Linked DNA regions of Lepisosteus oculatus. The protein of the gene in region 2 interacts with the protein of the main gene of each other region in a pairwise test. Links are inferred from orthologs where the notes say so. Each region holds a gene or a part of one and is shown on either strand. Other genes may lie near its edges.

Region 1 (8,474 bases), on a different chromosome or scaffold from region 2:
GACTGGAAGCTCACAAGAAAAAAAAAAAGAGAAGTATGAAAACATCCATATTGTTATTGTCAAATTCAGGAAGAAGGAAGGGAACAACAGGGCTGCTTTGGGTTGTGCTCACAATGAAAAAGGGCCCCTTTTCAAATGAGAAACTAAAAACAAAACGATATGAATCTCTTTTGTTTATTTCTACATTTCAGTTTTGTGGAAGGAGCTCTGACTGAAAACATTCAAACGTCAGATGACAAAGAAACCTTTATGTTTCAGTCCATCTCGAAGTGGACTGACTGTTGAGGGTGGTGAGGCAGCGTATATGGTAATACTGCGGATTTTAAGACCTTGTCAGAGGTGCACTAGGAGAGAGAAGGGAGTGGGCTTGTGTGGTGAGGAGGGGGCCTGTGATGATCAGCAGGAGCGCAGGAGTGTGTTGTGCTGGTTCCTGGACAGGGGAGAGGACAGTCGTCTGTCAGTGTGTGCACGGGCTGAGCTGGGGAGAGGGATGAGCCGTTCTGATGGGCAGGACCAAATCACCGCCGCTGGTTCATCCCCGAAAGGTTCTTCAGCTGCAAAACAACAGAAATGGAAAAGGATAAAGTGTCCCAGGTCCAGTCTGGTTCTCTTTGTCCTCTTCAAACTCAGTCTGTGCAATGAAATACAAATCTTCTTTCAACTAAAAAATAGCAGCCAAAATGAACATGGATCTGGAATGAAGAGTGAAAAACACATGCTAAGCTGCATTAATTTAGCTTGCATTTGTTTCACTTCATGTAAAATTCTCTGTTCTGACCACTTAACTGAGATTTGGAAATTTCCAAATTAATTAATTAAGGCTAAATTAAATCAAAGAAAGAAAACAAAAGCAAAAAAACTAAAATGGTGATTGGTCTAAATTAAATCAATTAAAGACTGCAAATATCAAACCCTGTAAGTGCTTTTTGTTTTATACATATTTCCTTCCTTCTCCCAAAGCAAACTGGTTAAATGGTGTGATCCTTACACACACTGCTTGGAGTGAGAGTCCAAAAAATAGCCATCTGATACTAGGAAAATTGCTGAGATGAACCAGTGAGCAAGAGAAACAACTTACAGTGATGGCAGCTCCCATAATCCCCTGTACCACAGCTTCCCCAGTGGATTTAACCTGTAAAGACATAGGCCGACCATCAGCAAAGTACACAAAGCAAACCTGTGTAGTGATATCTACTGTACCATATGTACAGCCACGTAGCCATGCTGCAAACTGAACAGTGAATAAAGACCAAACTAAGAGGACAAATAATTCCAATGTTTTCATAGCAACACATTAGTTACAAAAAGATTTGTCAGAGGGCATTCTGGAGAGGTCAGTCTTTCAAACTTGGAGCATGTGTTACCTAAAACACTGTTAAATGAACAAATGAGAAATTCACAAAACAGTACCACTGAGATCCAGACTCCAGCAGGGTTCCTGCTCTCAGCACCTCTAATGCTACAGAACTGCAAGGTAAAATAGCCAAGCTCATTGCCCAGATCCTGCAGTCTGAAGCTTGGTCATTACTGGGAAAATTTGATTGCCATGAGAGTGTTGTGCATGATTCCAGAGTATCACAAGTTCTGGAGGTTCTGCTTTTCATCTGACCTGTGCTCTCAGCTTAGAACACGAGAAAGGTTACAAACAAGACTAGGACATTTGGTTCATGCTGCCCATTTGGTGGTCAGCAGTTAATTGATCCAAAGATCTCATCCTAGCGTTTCTTTAAAGAAACCTGGGTATCAGTTGCACCAGTGTGGATGGGTGTCTCGTTCCAGGCTTCCACATCACTCTGGGTAAAGAACTGCCTGCTGGTCTCAATTTTAAATGCACTTCCACCTAGTTTCCACCTGCGTGTCCTCTGGTTCGTGTTTCACTGTTCATTCAGCTTCTAAGCACAAGAACAAACCTATTCAATCATCCGCAGGGATGTTTCCCAGTTCTTTAACACCTGAGGAGTTAAAGACCAACTAAAAAAGCTAGTTGCTTATGGGTCTCTGCATCAGGTGAAGAATTCTTCAGAGCTGGGGAACAATACCAGGGAGGCGGTCAGAGCACATGTGGTCAAAAAGATGTGTGTTTTCCCTCAGGGATCAGCACCTGCTGGGCAGTGTTGGCCATGTTCATCACGTCTTTAATGCGGTTGTCCAAGAAGGTCCAGGTGTCCTGGAAGTCGGGAGAGGAATCCTGAACCATCACCAGCTCTGTGGTGTTATAGATGCCGGTCAGGGCTGCACGTCGTGTGTACCAGTTCAGCTGTGGGCACACAATCACACCACTTACCAGACTGGCACAGAAGAACACTACAAAAAGTTACAGATTCATCTAGGTTGTCTGGTTCACCCTTCTCATTTAGTTGTCAAAAGCAGTGTGTAGTGGGGATGCTAAAATTATAGCATTATTAATCACCTAATCGTGCTACAGCAGTGAGAGATCATGGCCATGTTTGGAAACATGCTGCAGAATGACGTGACCGCACTCACATCAGTAGAGCGGTCCCCGGCGTAGTACCAGATGTCATCCACCAGGGTGGACAGGTGCTTCAGGCTCTCAGGGATGTTCTGGGGCAGCAGCAGGATGCTCATGGCCTGGCGACGGGGAGGGAAAAAGAATACCATTTTTCAGGAGAACAGCTACACCTCCCGTTCCAAAAAAACTCCCCCCTCGTCCTAGGACTGCCGTCAGCCATGAAATCAGAAGCTCCTTTCCCCAGTACACAACACAGTACCTGCGGCCAGGTTTCGATGTATGGGATGAGCATGCGTAGTCTCATTTCCACTGCTTCTCTCAGAAACTCAGCAGGCTTCTTTGACCTGACACAAAAACACACCCACACTTTTACCCACACAAAGACCACAAAGAAGCTGCACACTGGGTCAGTTGCAACATGTTGTTGAAGAACAGCTGATTGGGGACAAACATGTGTTCAATATTTGCATTCAGGAGGAGAGTCCCTTTGTCCTTTCACTCTGTGTGTTATTCTTGAATTTTATGACTGTGTGTTTAAGAGATAACAGACAAGACTATCCCTAGCATTAAATGATTGTCTCAAACAGAGAAGATCCACAGTTGTCAGAACAATAAATGGGTATACAAGGCCCTGCCACTTTGAAACAAGCAGTTTTCACATGGGTAATAGGTATGAAACTCCAAGCACCAAAAAGTGAGCAATGTCAAAAAGCCGCAGCATCTGAGAAAAAAAAAGACCATTTCCTCATTTCTGGAAATAGGTTATTACTCCCTTCCAGAACAACTAGGCACACTGCAAGAGTGCAGCAGCCACTGTCCCGATCACACAGCACACCACAAACACCCGCAGGCTTGGACTGGGTGGGGGGGGTGACTCACTCGGCCTGGCCCAGCTGGACCTGCTTGTGCTGCTCCGCCAGACTGTCGGCCAGGCGGGTGTTACACTGAGTGATGAAGTGCAGGACTAGGTCTCCGGCGCCGTTGGTGAACATCCCTGCAGCTGCTGCGGACAGACCCAGAGCCTGACAGACCAAGAGACAGAACGCAATGGTCAGTGATGAGTCTATCATCCTCATCCTCTGACTACAGCAAGCTGCTCTCTGTAACTGAAGAAATGGGACAACAGTTTCTTTCATTTATGTCTTATTCCCTAAACCTTCTTTTAATACTATTATTAATATTTCATTATTAAGTGTTAAAGAAAACTCCAAACCTACAATAACATCTGTCATACTATAACCAATAAAGATAGATGCATGCAATGTTTTCTTCCAAGAAATGCATTATAAAATGCGTGATTAAAATAATGTTTCACGGAATGCCTCCATGTGAGTGGTTTGCATTAGCACCTCGAGTGTTTGCTCAAGCTCTGTGGAAGCCCTCTCACGGGCCGGCGCATGTGCACACATGCTCAAGGGCACACATACATGCGCGCTCCGGGATCACCTGTGCTCCCGCCGCGATCGCGTCCACTGACCAACCGTGCTGCGGCACAAAGTCGAGTGCGGCCGCGAGGATGCGGCTCTGCAGCTGCTCCTCCGTCTCGTAATCCTCCCCCTGCTCGCCGCTCTGGTCTGCATAGCTGCACAGACACACACGAAGGCAGTGGGAGTGAGGGTCTGCCGCTGCACAGAACCACCACCTGCTACACTAACGGCACCTGAGCAGTCCCCAGCCCATAAATATAAAGGAAAATGTAGGGGCTCAAAAAGAAATGGCTGAAGATATCCCATTTGCAATGGCAAAGTGGGAACCTATCCACTAACAATCAACATATGTTAACACGTGAGCCAGCTACACGCTATCCATATGGAATATTCCTTTCACAACAACATCCAAATCCAGTACAGATAAGAGAGCCCAGACACAGCCAGTCCAGGCTGGGAGCAGACCTGGTGTTAGTCTGTGAGGACTCGGAGCCAGGTGACGCCTGGTAGTGCTGGTGATAAGAGGAGGAAGAGGCTGTCTGCTCCTGCTTGGAGTCCTCCTGCAATCTCAGCAGCGCAGCTCTGTGGAAACGCCTCTTCACATGGGGACACTGGCTTCTGTGTGCTAGGTAGGCAAGGAGAGAAGAATTGCACAGGATTTTTAAATGCTGGTGCCTTTGTGAAGCCTCTAGGAGAGCAAGCTGAAGGTAAGGGGGTTTAAACTTGGCTTCTCTTAAAACGAGCATTTTCTCCGAGCATCCTGGAGCGGAGGTGTTTTCGGTTGTTTGCGTCAGGCGACCGGAGATGGTATTGTTCTAACTGCAAACATTTCCAGCTCTACGTTTCATGACATCACTGTCTTTACAGGTCATTGACTGACGTACTTTATACATTTCCTTGACTGCCCCCACGCTAAGCTTGTAAACAAAGTGTTGTCACAAAGGCGCAACTCGCATTTAGCGATAGGTAGGCATAGAAACTACGGGAACGTAAAAAGAACTAAAACAATATACATTTGGCGTTCGCCGTAAGAAGAAATCAAAACAATATACGCGGGGTTCGTCTGTTTAACTTTCCAGTTGTTTTAGTTACACAACAAGTATGTAACTACGAGTCGTCACGGAACAAATGTATAACGCACTGCTACATTAATATATCTTACACTGATCAGGATTTATCAATTGATCAGTTTACACGTATATGTGTTATATGCGCGCATTAAAACAAAAACAATTGTTTCATTAAAACTCTGAATCCATAGGAACAACAATGCAGACTGTCCTTCACGATCACCTTGCTAGTCTCAGATTCAGACCCAGGTTCCAGAGGGGTCACCAGACTACCAGCAGGAACATGTTGCCCGTCCCGCACCCCAGATCGGAGGCTATAACCCCAGTCCCAGCCCGCCGGATTCTCCCTCTCTCACCAGTTCGCAAGGCCCACAAAACCCTCCCGGCTCTCCAACCTCTGAGCAGCGCCGCCATATCCCACCACAACTGCCGCACGTCATTCGCTTGCGACTCTTTCAGTCTCCGGCCGCCTCTCGGTAAAGACGTCAGCGATCTTCCCGGCTTCGGATCGGCAGAAGAAGAGAGAGCCGAGTAAGCGAAGTGTTGGCTAGGTTTGTTACAAAAACCGGTCTTTATCTTACCGTGTTTCAGTAAGATTAATATAATACTCTGCGCAGGTTCACTCATAAAACATCGTTGGACGAGAGTTGTATGTCAGTTCATAACCAAGGACAACTGAAGATTCAGGTAAGTGGAAAGGTCGTGTGATATATCGAATTCATTAGAATGGTTTGAACTACGATTTGTTTGCTGGGGGCCGCTACATGTCCAGAGACATTTTATGATTAGTGTAGATCATCACGTTTGGTCCGAACACAGTTTCTTCAGCTATGATTCTTTGATGATAAGCATCGTGTTTCTGTGAAATGAGAAAGGGAATTCTGCTCTGATACAGCTCACTCAGGATAAGTGCAGCTAAAATCAACATTGGTTGAAAGGCATGCTACAGATTACAAATAAATCTATTTTGTAGCTCTACCGCACACGATGGGAGTTTTGGGACGTGACACAACCTGAATAAGCACGTGATCTGTGCGTTAAGGGCTTTGTCTTGAGTGTACTTGTACAGCCGGAATCTGCTTTTCTCTCTATTTTTTTACCGAACGTGAAATGTTACTGCTTAACTAGACTCCCTGTAGTTTTAATCGCTCAAATGCCGGCGGGATGGGGTTCGGAAGGGACATTTAATTGGTGCCCCCGCTCAGATTCGGATTTGTAAGGCGATTGGAGTGGGTTGCAGTAAAAGCAACTGCGTCTGGAGAAGCTTGTTTACATGCTGCGATCTCAGTCCCGACGTCGACACTGTCAGCCAGCTTCTTTACAAACGCCTGAGGAAAACAGATAAAAACTGAAACCAATAGGAACGTCTCTCGAATCACCCTGAAGCGCTGACTCACTTCTGCACCTGTCCTCTAATTATCCAGGCTGACGGGGAGGTTTTTCAAAGCATAATACGGTCTCAAAATATTCTTCTCGTGTGGGAAATTAAATTTGAAGGTTAAATGACAACAGACAATGAATTACTGTCTTTTGATAATTTTGGAATTTTATAAGAATTTAGAGAGTTAAGATCTCGGCACTGCAGGAAAAAAATCAATTTTGAATGTTGTCCTGTTAGTTTCACGCTGGATGTCTTAATTTGGGCCCTTTCGGTTTTCACTGGCATCTCTACACCAGTGTGGCCAGTTGACTGGGCCTGTATTCGACATCTGAAATCGACAAGAAGCTTGTGAAACTTAAGCTCAGCTGCACGACGGTCTGATCCAAATACAAACCCAAGTATCGTAAAATCTGATGCAGGCGTGATTGAGATGCACAATGGAAGGTTTTGAAAACACCCTTTTTTAATTATCAGCTATAAATTGACCAGGGTTAACTGGAAAACTGGCTACCAATTACTGAAGGCAATTACAGCTAGCAGTTGTGTAGGGTTTACCATGGCCCTAAGATTCTGGACACAGGCTCATATTAGAGCTCACTGATGTAAATACTTAAATATAATTTTTTTAACAATTCAGTTTATTATTCTAATTTAATTCTGAGCAGAAGACCTCAGGACTTATGAGCTCTAGCACCCTTCATTTTCAGGTCCTGGATAGTCATGCTAGTTGCTCAAGACTAAAGTTTTGAGTTCTGTGAATCTGTCTGTTTAGGGCAGTCCGTTAGGGCTGGGAATTTCCTTCTGTGGACCTAACAGCATTGCTTGTCTTGTGAGTTTGAAACCTTCGTCCGGGGACTGGAGGTCTGAGACTGAGCAGTCTTTTCGGCTGTGCCTGCAGGACAGAGGTATGGCAGAGCTGGGCGTGCAGGCAGGGCAGAGCCTGCTGCTGATGTGGGGTCACCCATCCAGCCCCACGGCAGTGAAGGAGCAGGTGGAGAGCCTGCAGAAAGCAGTGGGATCCCAGGGCAAGGTGGCAATAGAAAACATTGACAGACTACGGCTGTGTGAGTATTACTTCACAAACCCATGTTAACTTTAAAAAGGCTCAGTAGCTCTGGGCACACTATAGGAGCTGTACCACATAGAGGCAGTACAAGCAGTTGATTCATTTCTGCATTTGGAAGCCTTTTGAAGAATCATGGTGTGAAACCTGTTTTTGTTTTTTGAAGAGTGTAGCAGCATTTTGTACCTGTTGCTACTGTTCAGAGAGCCGATGTATTTAGTAATGCCCCCATATGTGGGAATTTTCCACTTGAGGTCCCTTGACATACCCCACTTTCCTGCCTGGGGTATTGTCAGCCTAATTGTTTAAAAATCTGTCTTGGGCATTTCGGAATGCAAAATCCAGGAGTCGCTGTGTTGGTGTCAGGTGCTTTTGAGCTTGGTGTTGTGTCACCTGTTTATGACCTGATTGTCAAGACTTTTCGTTTTTGTATGGCTACATTTCAAAATGAAATTATCCAACATAATTCTAGTTAATTCATAATTCCTAGGGCATTTAATTCTAATACTAATGCCTGAATCACGTATTATAATATGTCCCCATGTCTAAAAAAGATAGCAACTACTCATTTAAATTTTGTATCCATAGTCCTGAAACAAACAGATTTTTTCATTTTTTTGTGATTTTCTGTTCAGTAAAAATATATATGTTTGTTTTGAAAATCAATGAAAGTTGTCCATAATTACTGCATCGTCCATGAAGGTGAGCTTTATACCCACTGGCCACATCATTTAGCCAAATGAATGACGTTCTGACATAGCTGGACTGGAATCATAGAATCTCCTGATCTTCTCCTGTCCCTGCAGCCTCTCACCCGGAGTCCAGCTTCCACTGGGTCCTGTCCGGCCTGCTGCCGGACAGCACTGTCATCCACAGCTCAGAGACCTTGGCGGAGATCGGCCGAGTGCTGAAGCCAGGCGGAAATGTCATCCTGGAGGAGCCTGTCTCGGCCTCAGGTGAGTCTCCAGGCAACCAGGGCCTGTGTGTCCCAGCTTATTTCCCACTGCAGGGCCACTCCAATCACTCACCATAAAGTCAATCCCGGACTGATGTGGATGGAAAT
Region 2 (8,442 bases):
GACCCCCACAGCGCAGGCGCACTATTCAAAGACCCAATAAGGGGGAAATGCGCATGCTCACACCTGGAGGACTCCGTCACCATAGACATACCATAAGTTAGAGTTCCCACCGATTTACTTATGTAGATTCGACCACCATCATAAGTGGGGATAAATTAAAGGAAATATAGTGAAGGTAGTATAATTAGTGTGATGAAAAAAGTTCCAAATACTATGATACAATTCGGCAAAAATAAACTTATTTTTAGCTATCAACACGATTCATTTTTAAGATTTTTAAAACCTAAGGGGTCAAACAACAACAAAAAAAGGTTACACCTCGTTGGGTGTGTCAAGAAAAGAAGGGAGTGCTCTCCTTTATCGATACAAAGCTAACAGTGCCCTCACGGGGATTCAACAATTCTATTTCCCTACGTTTCCGCGCGGAAAAAGGACCGTGCTGCAATTCATACTCGCCCCACACTACAACTACAAGTTCCAGAATGCACCGCTTCCCCAGCAGGGATTCCCGACTCTGTTTCCGGCTTTGTTTGCCTCGCTCGCTCACCAGAGCTTCGTCAGCTGACGAGAAGCCCCGCTTGCGCCCCAGGCTGTCTGCACCCGAGTTCGCAGCAGCAGCAGGAGGAGGAGAGAAGGCAAACAGCCCACAATGAAATTAGCTAAACGTCCTGGGCACGTCTGCGGCTGGTGAATGGTAATCTGTCGCCTGCCCTGTCTCCTCGTAGTTGACACCTGGAGAAGCACTCCGAGCTCTTCTTCAATGCTCTGATGTTGTTGTTGTTGTTGTTGCCGCACACGGCGTGCTTGCTTGGCACGCCACGGGAAAACGACGTTGGCTAGCTCCGTCGACCCTTAATGGTAGTAAGCACGGCACGGTTTTGGCACGGCACGGCACGACGCGCATCTGCGCCGGTCGCCGGGACAGCCTTGGGCTACCGCAAAGCCCAGGAGCTCGGGTCGCCGCGTTTCTGCCAAACCCGTTGCCGGGAAGGCGTGTTGGGAGGCCCCGGTTCATTCGTTGTCTGTATTTTGTTTTTTGTATCGAAGGCGTCCCGAAGGATGGAGCAGTCCGAGGAACAGGAGGCGCTGCTGGGGGCCGGGCGCGGAGGCGTGAACTCGCCGCCTCTGTCCGAGGCGGACAGCACCCGGGAGGGCTACCTCGAGTAAGTACGAGCATCTGGGGGGTGCCTCGTTTATTACAGTTCAAAATGAAAATGCCCCGGCGTTAAGGGTGGCCGGCGTTTGCTCAGCTTGCCCCTTGGGTGAGATAGTCCGGTATAGCGGTTTATACCTCGGGGGGTGAATTCTCGTCGACAGTGAGGCGAGAGGATCGAAACCCTGACTTGCCAGTTCTGCTTTATGGGGCGAGCTGTAAAATACAGAAGTGAAGAGGTTATCATCGGCCATCGGCGCTGTTGTGGGTGCCGATAAACCGAAAACACGATGTCGATCCCCCCCCCAAGCCGGTGCGCGGTCCTCTAAATTTGCAGGCTGGCGAAAGACGCTCCTCTTGTCAGGTGGGCGCTTGGCGTCACCCCTGTCGATGGTAATTTAGAGCTCAAGTATGTAGCTTGAACTAAAACCTGACGGTATTTAGGTCAGTGGCAGCCCCCCCCGCAGAGAAATGCTGTAGTCATGTGATTCACATGTGATAGTTCACCTACACTGTCCCACAAAGACGCTTTGACCATTAGGGGTCGTGTTTGAGGTCCTGGAGTAGGCTGCACCAAAAATCTTTGTCGGGAAAAACGTGGGGGGGAAGCCAAGCTTATTCAGGTCTTTTTTCATATTTCTTTTTCCCCTTCTCCCCCCTCCCTTAATGAGCAATTGATTGCTCCGGGTCTTGTTTTCATTTCTTTAAAATAAATTATCCTTACTTGGCATCCAGACCAAACAGATGACTTGGGAAAACAAAACAAAAAAAGCAGTATTACAGCATCTGGGGTGTGCACGTACAATGTGTTACTCTCGTCAATCATTAATAAATTCCCTGACTCATTTAACTGCATAAAGAGGCGTTCAGAACCTTTGCCTGTGTTTCCCTTGAAGTTCAGGAAAACAGTTGATTGTCCTTTGTCTGCTGCTGTGCGCTGTAGCGTTCTCTTTGCCCGCTAACGGCCGCTAACGTAGCGGTGCTTGTGTAACCGGTGAGACAGGATGCCGTCTCAGACGTGCGTGAGCCACGCTCGTCACCTCCCGCGCTGCAATAGCGAAGGCGCAGTCAGGACATACAGCGCAGTTAAAACGGTAGAACCTGGATCGACAAGCGTATTGTTAAAACTCTACATAACCCGTCAGTTTAGAATGTTGTGCGTTGATAGGATTTTGATCACCGCAGTCCAGAAAAGGCAGCGCTGCTCTGGAAGCGGTCCGGAGCAGAGCGACTAGGTCTTTGGTTTGAAAGAATGACCTACACTGACCCCAGTGTCCTGGCCAAATTTCCCCCTGGCCTTTACCAGTCACGGCCTCCTAATAACCCCCCTCTCTGAACTGGCTCCATCACTCTGTTCTCCTCCCCACTGAGAGCTGGTGTTTGGGGAGCGGACTGGCACATCATCCAGGTGGGGCTGCACACTGGTGGCGGTAGTGGGATCCCCCATTACCTGTAAAGCTCTTTGAGTGGAGAGTCCAGAAAAGCGCTATCTAAGTGTAAGCAGTTATATTTTATTAATGCCCCCCCCCTCCCCAACGCCAAGCCCCGTGACTGATCCAACCCCCCCCTCTGTGGAGAAAACCTGCGTGTTCAAATCCTGCTGTGCCCCCCTGAGCCGATGCTGTGTTTTCCAGTCAGGTCCAGAATGGGAACCTGTTCCTGGCCACCTTCGCCGCCGTGCTCGGGCCCCTCAGTTTCGGCTTCGTGCTGGGCTACAGCTCCCCCGCCATCCCCAGCCTCAAGAGGGCCGGGGACCCCCGCCTGCAGCTGGACGACGAGGAGGCGTCCTGGTTCGGGGTAGGGCTTTCTTTTTCTGGGTGCGCTCGATTTAAGGGGCAGGGGATCGAAAATTGATCTGTAATAAGGCCGATCAGTGCGTCTCCCTTGCACAGGACAGAGAAGCGTTTGCAAAGCGTCCTCGAGCTTTGGAAAGGTGCTTTATAAGTTAAAAATTATTATTATTATTATTATTATTATTATTATTATTATTATTGAGTCTTACCTTCCGAAAGCAGACGCGTCCCCAGGCGCTGAGCTGTGTTTGCCGAAGGCAGTGCTGGGAAAACACCAGCTCTTCCTGGGATTCCTGGGCGGGTGGCGGATTTGAAAGTGGGGTGCGTCGGGGCAGAGTTTTTTCTGGGTTCTGGGTAACACTGGAGTACAGAGTGACGGACGACTCGTTTTCTTTAACCCTGAAACACACACCGCCAGTTTTTTACACCAAGACGAAAATTCAGGCCGGAAAGGGTTAAAAACTCCTGCCGCCTGGACCTTCGACCTCTGACCTCTGACCTCCGCGCCTGTCCGTGTCTCCCCGTGTGCGTCCCCAGTCCGTGGTCACTCTAGGGGCGGCGGCGGGGGGGGTGCTGGGCGGCTGGGTGGTGGAGAGGATCGGGAGGAAGCTGAGCCTCATGGTCTGCGCCGTCCCCTTCATCCTCGGCTTCAACATCATCATCTCCGCGCAGAACATCTGGATGCTGTACCTCGGACGGGTCCTGACCGGACTGGCCAGCGGGGTGACGTCCTTAGCAGTGCCTGTATGTAAAGCAGCAGCAGGGATAATGAGAGTAAACGCAGTGACGCAGAACATATTAGCAGTCTTAATGAGGCCAATGACTTATGTCTTGTCTGATATGAAAAACCACTTTGTTCTCGTATGTAAATTCCTTATTAATGCATATTAATAAGGGGGTCAGTTGTTCGTTTGTAGTGCCTCTGCAGAGATAACATTATAGTAATAAAAGGGGTCTGTTTAATAGTTTTGCCAGAAGGGAGGGGGGGGGCTGCTCTTTTTCCCTCCAAAGAGGTCGAGTTTGGGTTTCAGGAGAGTTGAACGCGTCCGATTGCAGGGAAAAACGGCTCCGTTGGAAACAGTTGCCGGGGGAGGCCAGCGGACAAACCCGAGCAGCGGGTTTCCCAGCATCCCTGGGCCTTGCCGCGGTTACCGGGCGGGCGGCATGAAAGTTGAATTAAATATCGGGTGAAGTGTCGTTCTCTGCCCCGCGGGCTCCTAGCGCTCTGCACAGAGGCCCAGGGTATGGCCTGGGGGTGGGGGTGGGGGGGTTTGTCAGCTCAACGGGAAGTTTCGAAACCTTTAACGACGCTTGAATTCTGAGTGCTGCCGCTACGTCTGCTTCACTGATCGCACGGTCTGCCCCCCCAGTTGTACATCGCGGAGACGGCTCACGCCCGGGTGCGGGGCATGCTGGGATCCTGCGTTCAGCTCATGGTGGTGACGGGCATCATGGGAGCGTACATCGCAGGTAAACCGTTCGGATTGTCCGTTTTCTTTGTTCCCCCCCGTGGTGCGCTTCCTGTCCTCCTTTCCGCTCTCTGTGCCTTGCGACTGGGGTACGAACCGTGTTCTCACAAGACTCTTGAGTCTCAGACTCCTTGTTCGCACCCGTGCCATCCCGGAGTTTGGTTTTCACCTCGCGGCTGAACGGAGAGACGGGATCACTCTGTGCTGTTGGTGGGGTTTACCTGGCTGTCGTTGCCCCCCCCTCTGGTCCCGATCCGATCCACGAGGCGGGGAGTGGCGTGGTAACGAGCGACCCGGTTGCGTCTCTCCCCGCCCAGGTCTGGTGCTGGAGTGGCGCTGGCTGGCGGTGGCGTGCTCGGTGCCGCCGGCGCTGATGCTGGTGCTCATGTGCTTCATGCCCGAGACGCCGCGCTTCCTGCTGGCCCAGGGGAGGGAGTACGAGGCGCTGGCGGCCCTGCGCTTCCTGAGGGGGCCGGCCGTGCCGCACGAGTGGGAGTGCGTGCAGATCGAGGCCGCGGCGCGGGAGCAGGTGAGTCGGGGGGGGGGGGGCACCTTGCCAAGACTGTAAAGATGAAGTTATGATATTATTATCATTATTAATCCCTCACACTTGCTGTATATGGCACTTTTCTGGACACTCCACTCAAAGCGATTTACAGGTCATGGGGAATCCCACTGCCGCCACCAATGTGCAGCCCCACCTGGATGAGGCGCCAGTACGCTCCCCCCACACCAGCTCTCAGTGGGGATGTGAGCAGAGTGATGAAGCCAGTTCAGAGACGGGGATTATGAGGAGGCCATGATTGGTAAAGGCCAGGGGGAAATTTGGCCAGGACACCCCTACTCTTTTTGAGAAACGCCCTGGGATTTCTAATAACCATAGAGAGTCAAAACCTCAGTTTTACATCTCATCCGAAGGACAAGTATAGTGTCCCCGTCACTGTACTGGGGCATTAGGGCCCACGCAGACTGCAGGGTGAGCGCCCCCTGCTGGCCCCTCTTACACCTGTTCAGCCTGTCCCGGCCTCGGGGTGCACGCTCAGTGCAGCGGAGAGCGGCGCTGAGTTGCGCCACGCTGTTTGCATGCCGTCTGTCTGGGCCCCATTTGCTGTTTAACGCGTTTCCCTCCCTCCCACCCCCTCGGGTGTCGCAGGGCGACAGCCTCAAGCTGGGAGACCTGAGGAGCCCTGCCATCTACAAGCCCCTGCTCATCGGGGTCCTGCTGATGTTGTTCCAGCAGCTCACGGGGATCAACGCCATCATGTTCTACGCCGAGACCATTTTCGAAGAAGCAAACTTCCAGGTAGCTGCCCCTCGCCCTCCCCCCCTTTGCCGTCACGCCACAGACACAGTCTGGGCTCCTCGTGTCGCCCTCGCCCCTCCACCCCACCCCGCCAGTTCGTCCCGCAACACCTGGGGCGCGAACCCGGGTCTCCCGGCGTGACGCCACAGGGAACCAGCCGAGTGAGCTAAAGGAGACCCCCCCCCAGCCCAGGTGGCTGAGGTCCCTGCGACGCACGAGGAGGGAGATGGCGTGGCCGCGCCCGAACGAGCTCCGCTGACGCCTCCCGTTTTCCCTTCCGCGTTGGCCGGGTGCGGCAGAGTGCGGTGGACATCCCCCGTGGGCGTTGTCAACGTTTTACCAGTTCCCTCGATATTTCCGTTCCTTTGCTTGGACGCTCATCTTCAGCTCAAGAAACGAACTGAAGTCAGCCAGGAGAAGGTTAACGAGGGAGAGCCTGTGTCACTGTTAATGAGTAAACCTCAAGTCTGGTGCCAGAACCCAGCATCCTTGTTCGCAGACGTCCCCGTGTTTCCGGAGTAGTCCGTGACCGCCTGTAAATTCCATAGGCATCCCCTCAGGGTGCCGTGTCCAGGCTGGTGTTGGGAACAGCAGCCCAACGTACTCAAATATCGCTCCGCTGTCCGCAGTTTCCCCACTGCGGTGTCCTGGGGGGGGAAGAACCCGGATGGTTACGGAGTGCTGACCGGCGACCGTGGTGCAGTACGTTGCATGCCGGGTGCCGCTCCTTCGATGGGGAAGGACATATTTCTCGAGCTCCGTACTCGACTTTCGGGCCGGCCATGTGCGGGAACACCCCCCCCCTCCCCTCCCTGCTCTGGCTGGAGGACCGGGAGGTGGGGGGAGGCATCTCCCAAGGCTGTAGACGGCCGAGGGAGCCCCGCCGGATCGATCCGCAGGCCGGATTCCAGGGATCGGTGCCATGAGCTTAACGGCGGGTTGTTTTTTTTTGTTTGTTTCAAAAGGCCAGCAGCGTCGCCACGGTGATCGTGGCTGCCATCCAGGTGGTCTTCACGGCCCTGGCGGCGCTCATCATGGACCGGGCCGGGAGGAAAGTCCTGCTCGTCCTCTCGGGTGAGTCTCTCCGGGGCCGATGCGGTCTCTGACTTTTAACGCAGACTGTTACATTGATCCTGCAAAGCACCAGCAGTTAAATAATTAATCGTAATTATACCCTTACACTTACACCACGCTTTTCTAGATACTCCACTCAAAGCACTTTACAGGGAATGGGCAATCCCACTGTCACCACCAATGTGTAACCCCCCCCCACCTTGATGATGCGATGGCAGCCAGAGTGCCTCAGTCCGCTCCCCACACACCAGCTCTCAGAGGGAGGAGAGCAGAGAGGGGGGTTATTAGGAGGCCATGACTGGTAAAGGCCAGGGGGGAATCTGGCCAGGACACTGGGGTTACACTGTTACGCACAGTGTGTGATTGGTATTGTACTGGGCTTGCAGGGAAGATCCAATTAACAAATTGTCTTTGTGTTGTATTAAGCAGAGTTCCAAGTCTTGCCCTGTAGAGGGCGCTAGTCCATTGTCAGTAATGCCGATATTCCTGTATACACGTGGGGCTGACTGGAGCATTCGGGGTGCAGTACCTGGCTCATGTGGGGTACAATGTCCACAGCAATATCTGTGCTGGAGACTTGAACCCCCGGTACCCCTGCATTGCCCAGGACTGAGCGCCCCCCCCCCGGGCTGGTGATGGTAATGCTGGCTGTCCTTCTCCCCCACCGTGTGTCCGCAGGGTTGGCCATGGCGGTCAGCACGGCCGTGTTTGGGGCGTACTTCAAGATCACCAGCGCCGCGCCCACCAACGGCTCCTCTCTGAGCGGGGTCCCCCTCCTGGCCGCCCAGAGCTCTGCGCTGCCCCCCTCTGAGGGCAGCCTGGCCTGGCTGGCCCTGGCCAGCATGGGGCTCTTCATCGCAGGTACAGCCTCAGGAAGACTTGGCCTCCAAAACCAGGGTTCTTTTTTCTCAAGATTCGCGTTCGCAGAGAAAATCCGGGAACGGGACTGTGCCCACGCTGCTCCCACCCATGGTCACCCTGAGCCCCACAGTGCATTATGGGATGCCTCGCACTCACCCCGCCTCCTTCTCACACACCCCAGTTTAGAGAATTGTGACCTGCACTCGGGTGTATTCTATGATTTTTCATTTAAAAACAAGAGGGTCGAAAAAGGACCGGGCTATTCCTCCGTCATTATTTTTCACGTTGCGGCCACTGAAACGCAGTAGCTCTGCGGGCAGATCCGAACGCCTACTGCGTAGCGTCAGGAGGCGCGAGCGTCCAAACGCCACGGCCCCCACGACGCGTTCAGAACCCAACCTTGCCAGCCGGATGGCTGGAGTAGTTCCTGCTTGGGGGCGCTGGTGACCCCGTTCGTTGGGACGCCCCCCCTTCTTCAAACCGCTTATTCCAATTCAGGATCGCGGGGCAGTCGGAATCTATCCCAGCAAGCACCGGGCGCGAGGCAGGGCACGCCCTGGATGGGACGCCAGTCTATCGCGGGGCACACACAGACACTCGCGCCGGGGCCAGTTGTCCCAGAAGGCAGCGCGTCTCTGGCCTGTGGGAGGAAACCTACATGAAGTGGAAAGAACGTGCAAACTCCACACAGACGGCACACTAGAATAGCTGAATAGAACCCGGGGCCGGGAGCTGCTGTACCGCCCCACCTCTCCTTCACCTTCTGCGTTTCTCCCCCGTGCCCCAGGT

What was found.
Region 1: the proteins of ndor1 (region 2) and ciapin1 interact in binary tests that used the Homo sapiens proteins (3 or more experiments, as listed by UniProt). The two-hybrid records come from large-scale screens. The link is inferred for Lepisosteus oculatus from reciprocal best matches to the Homo sapiens genes NDOR1 and CIAPIN1.

What each region holds. Positions count from the first base shown.
Region 1 is NC_090715.1:12,268,315-12,276,788, forward strand, and holds the start of ciapin1 (anamorsin), read left to right. Parts: upstream 1-5,169; 5' UTR 5,170-5,250; coding exon 5,251-5,498; exon of another isoform or gene 5,499-5,518; intron 5,519-5,584; coding exon 5,585-5,654; intron 5,655-7,246; coding exon 7,247-7,412; intron 7,413-8,217; coding exon 8,218-8,367; intron 8,368-8,474. Other genes in the region: coq9 (ubiquinone biosynthesis protein COQ9, mitochondrial), read right to left, coding at 519-554, 1,079-1,132, 2,102-2,257, 2,485-2,589, 2,730-2,814, 3,350-3,462. UniProt on the Homo sapiens protein: Component of the cytosolic iron-sulfur (Fe-S) protein assembly (CIA) machinery required for the maturation of extramitochondrial Fe-S proteins.
Region 2 is NC_090719.1:2,813,310-2,821,751, forward strand, and holds the start of ndor1 (NADPH-dependent diflavin oxidoreductase 1), read right to left. Parts: upstream 3,688-8,442; 5' UTR 3,624-3,687; coding exon 3,446-3,623; intron 3,346-3,445; coding exon 3,156-3,345; intron 2,951-3,155; coding exon of another isoform or gene 2,788-2,950; intron 1,370-2,787; coding exon 1,292-1,369; intron 1,164-1,291; coding exon of another isoform or gene 1,048-1,163; intron 695-1,047; coding exon of another isoform or gene 692-694; exon of another isoform or gene 548-691; intron 138-547; exon of another isoform or gene 90-137; coding exon of another isoform or gene 1-89. Other genes in the region: slc2a8 (solute carrier family 2, facilitated glucose transporter member 8), read left to right, coding at 692-694, 1,048-1,163, 2,788-2,950, 4,317-4,416, 4,733-4,944, 5,569-5,718, 6,684-6,792, 7,471-7,653 and 1 more. UniProt on the Homo sapiens protein: NADPH-dependent reductase which is a central component of the cytosolic iron-sulfur (Fe-S) protein assembly (CIA) machinery.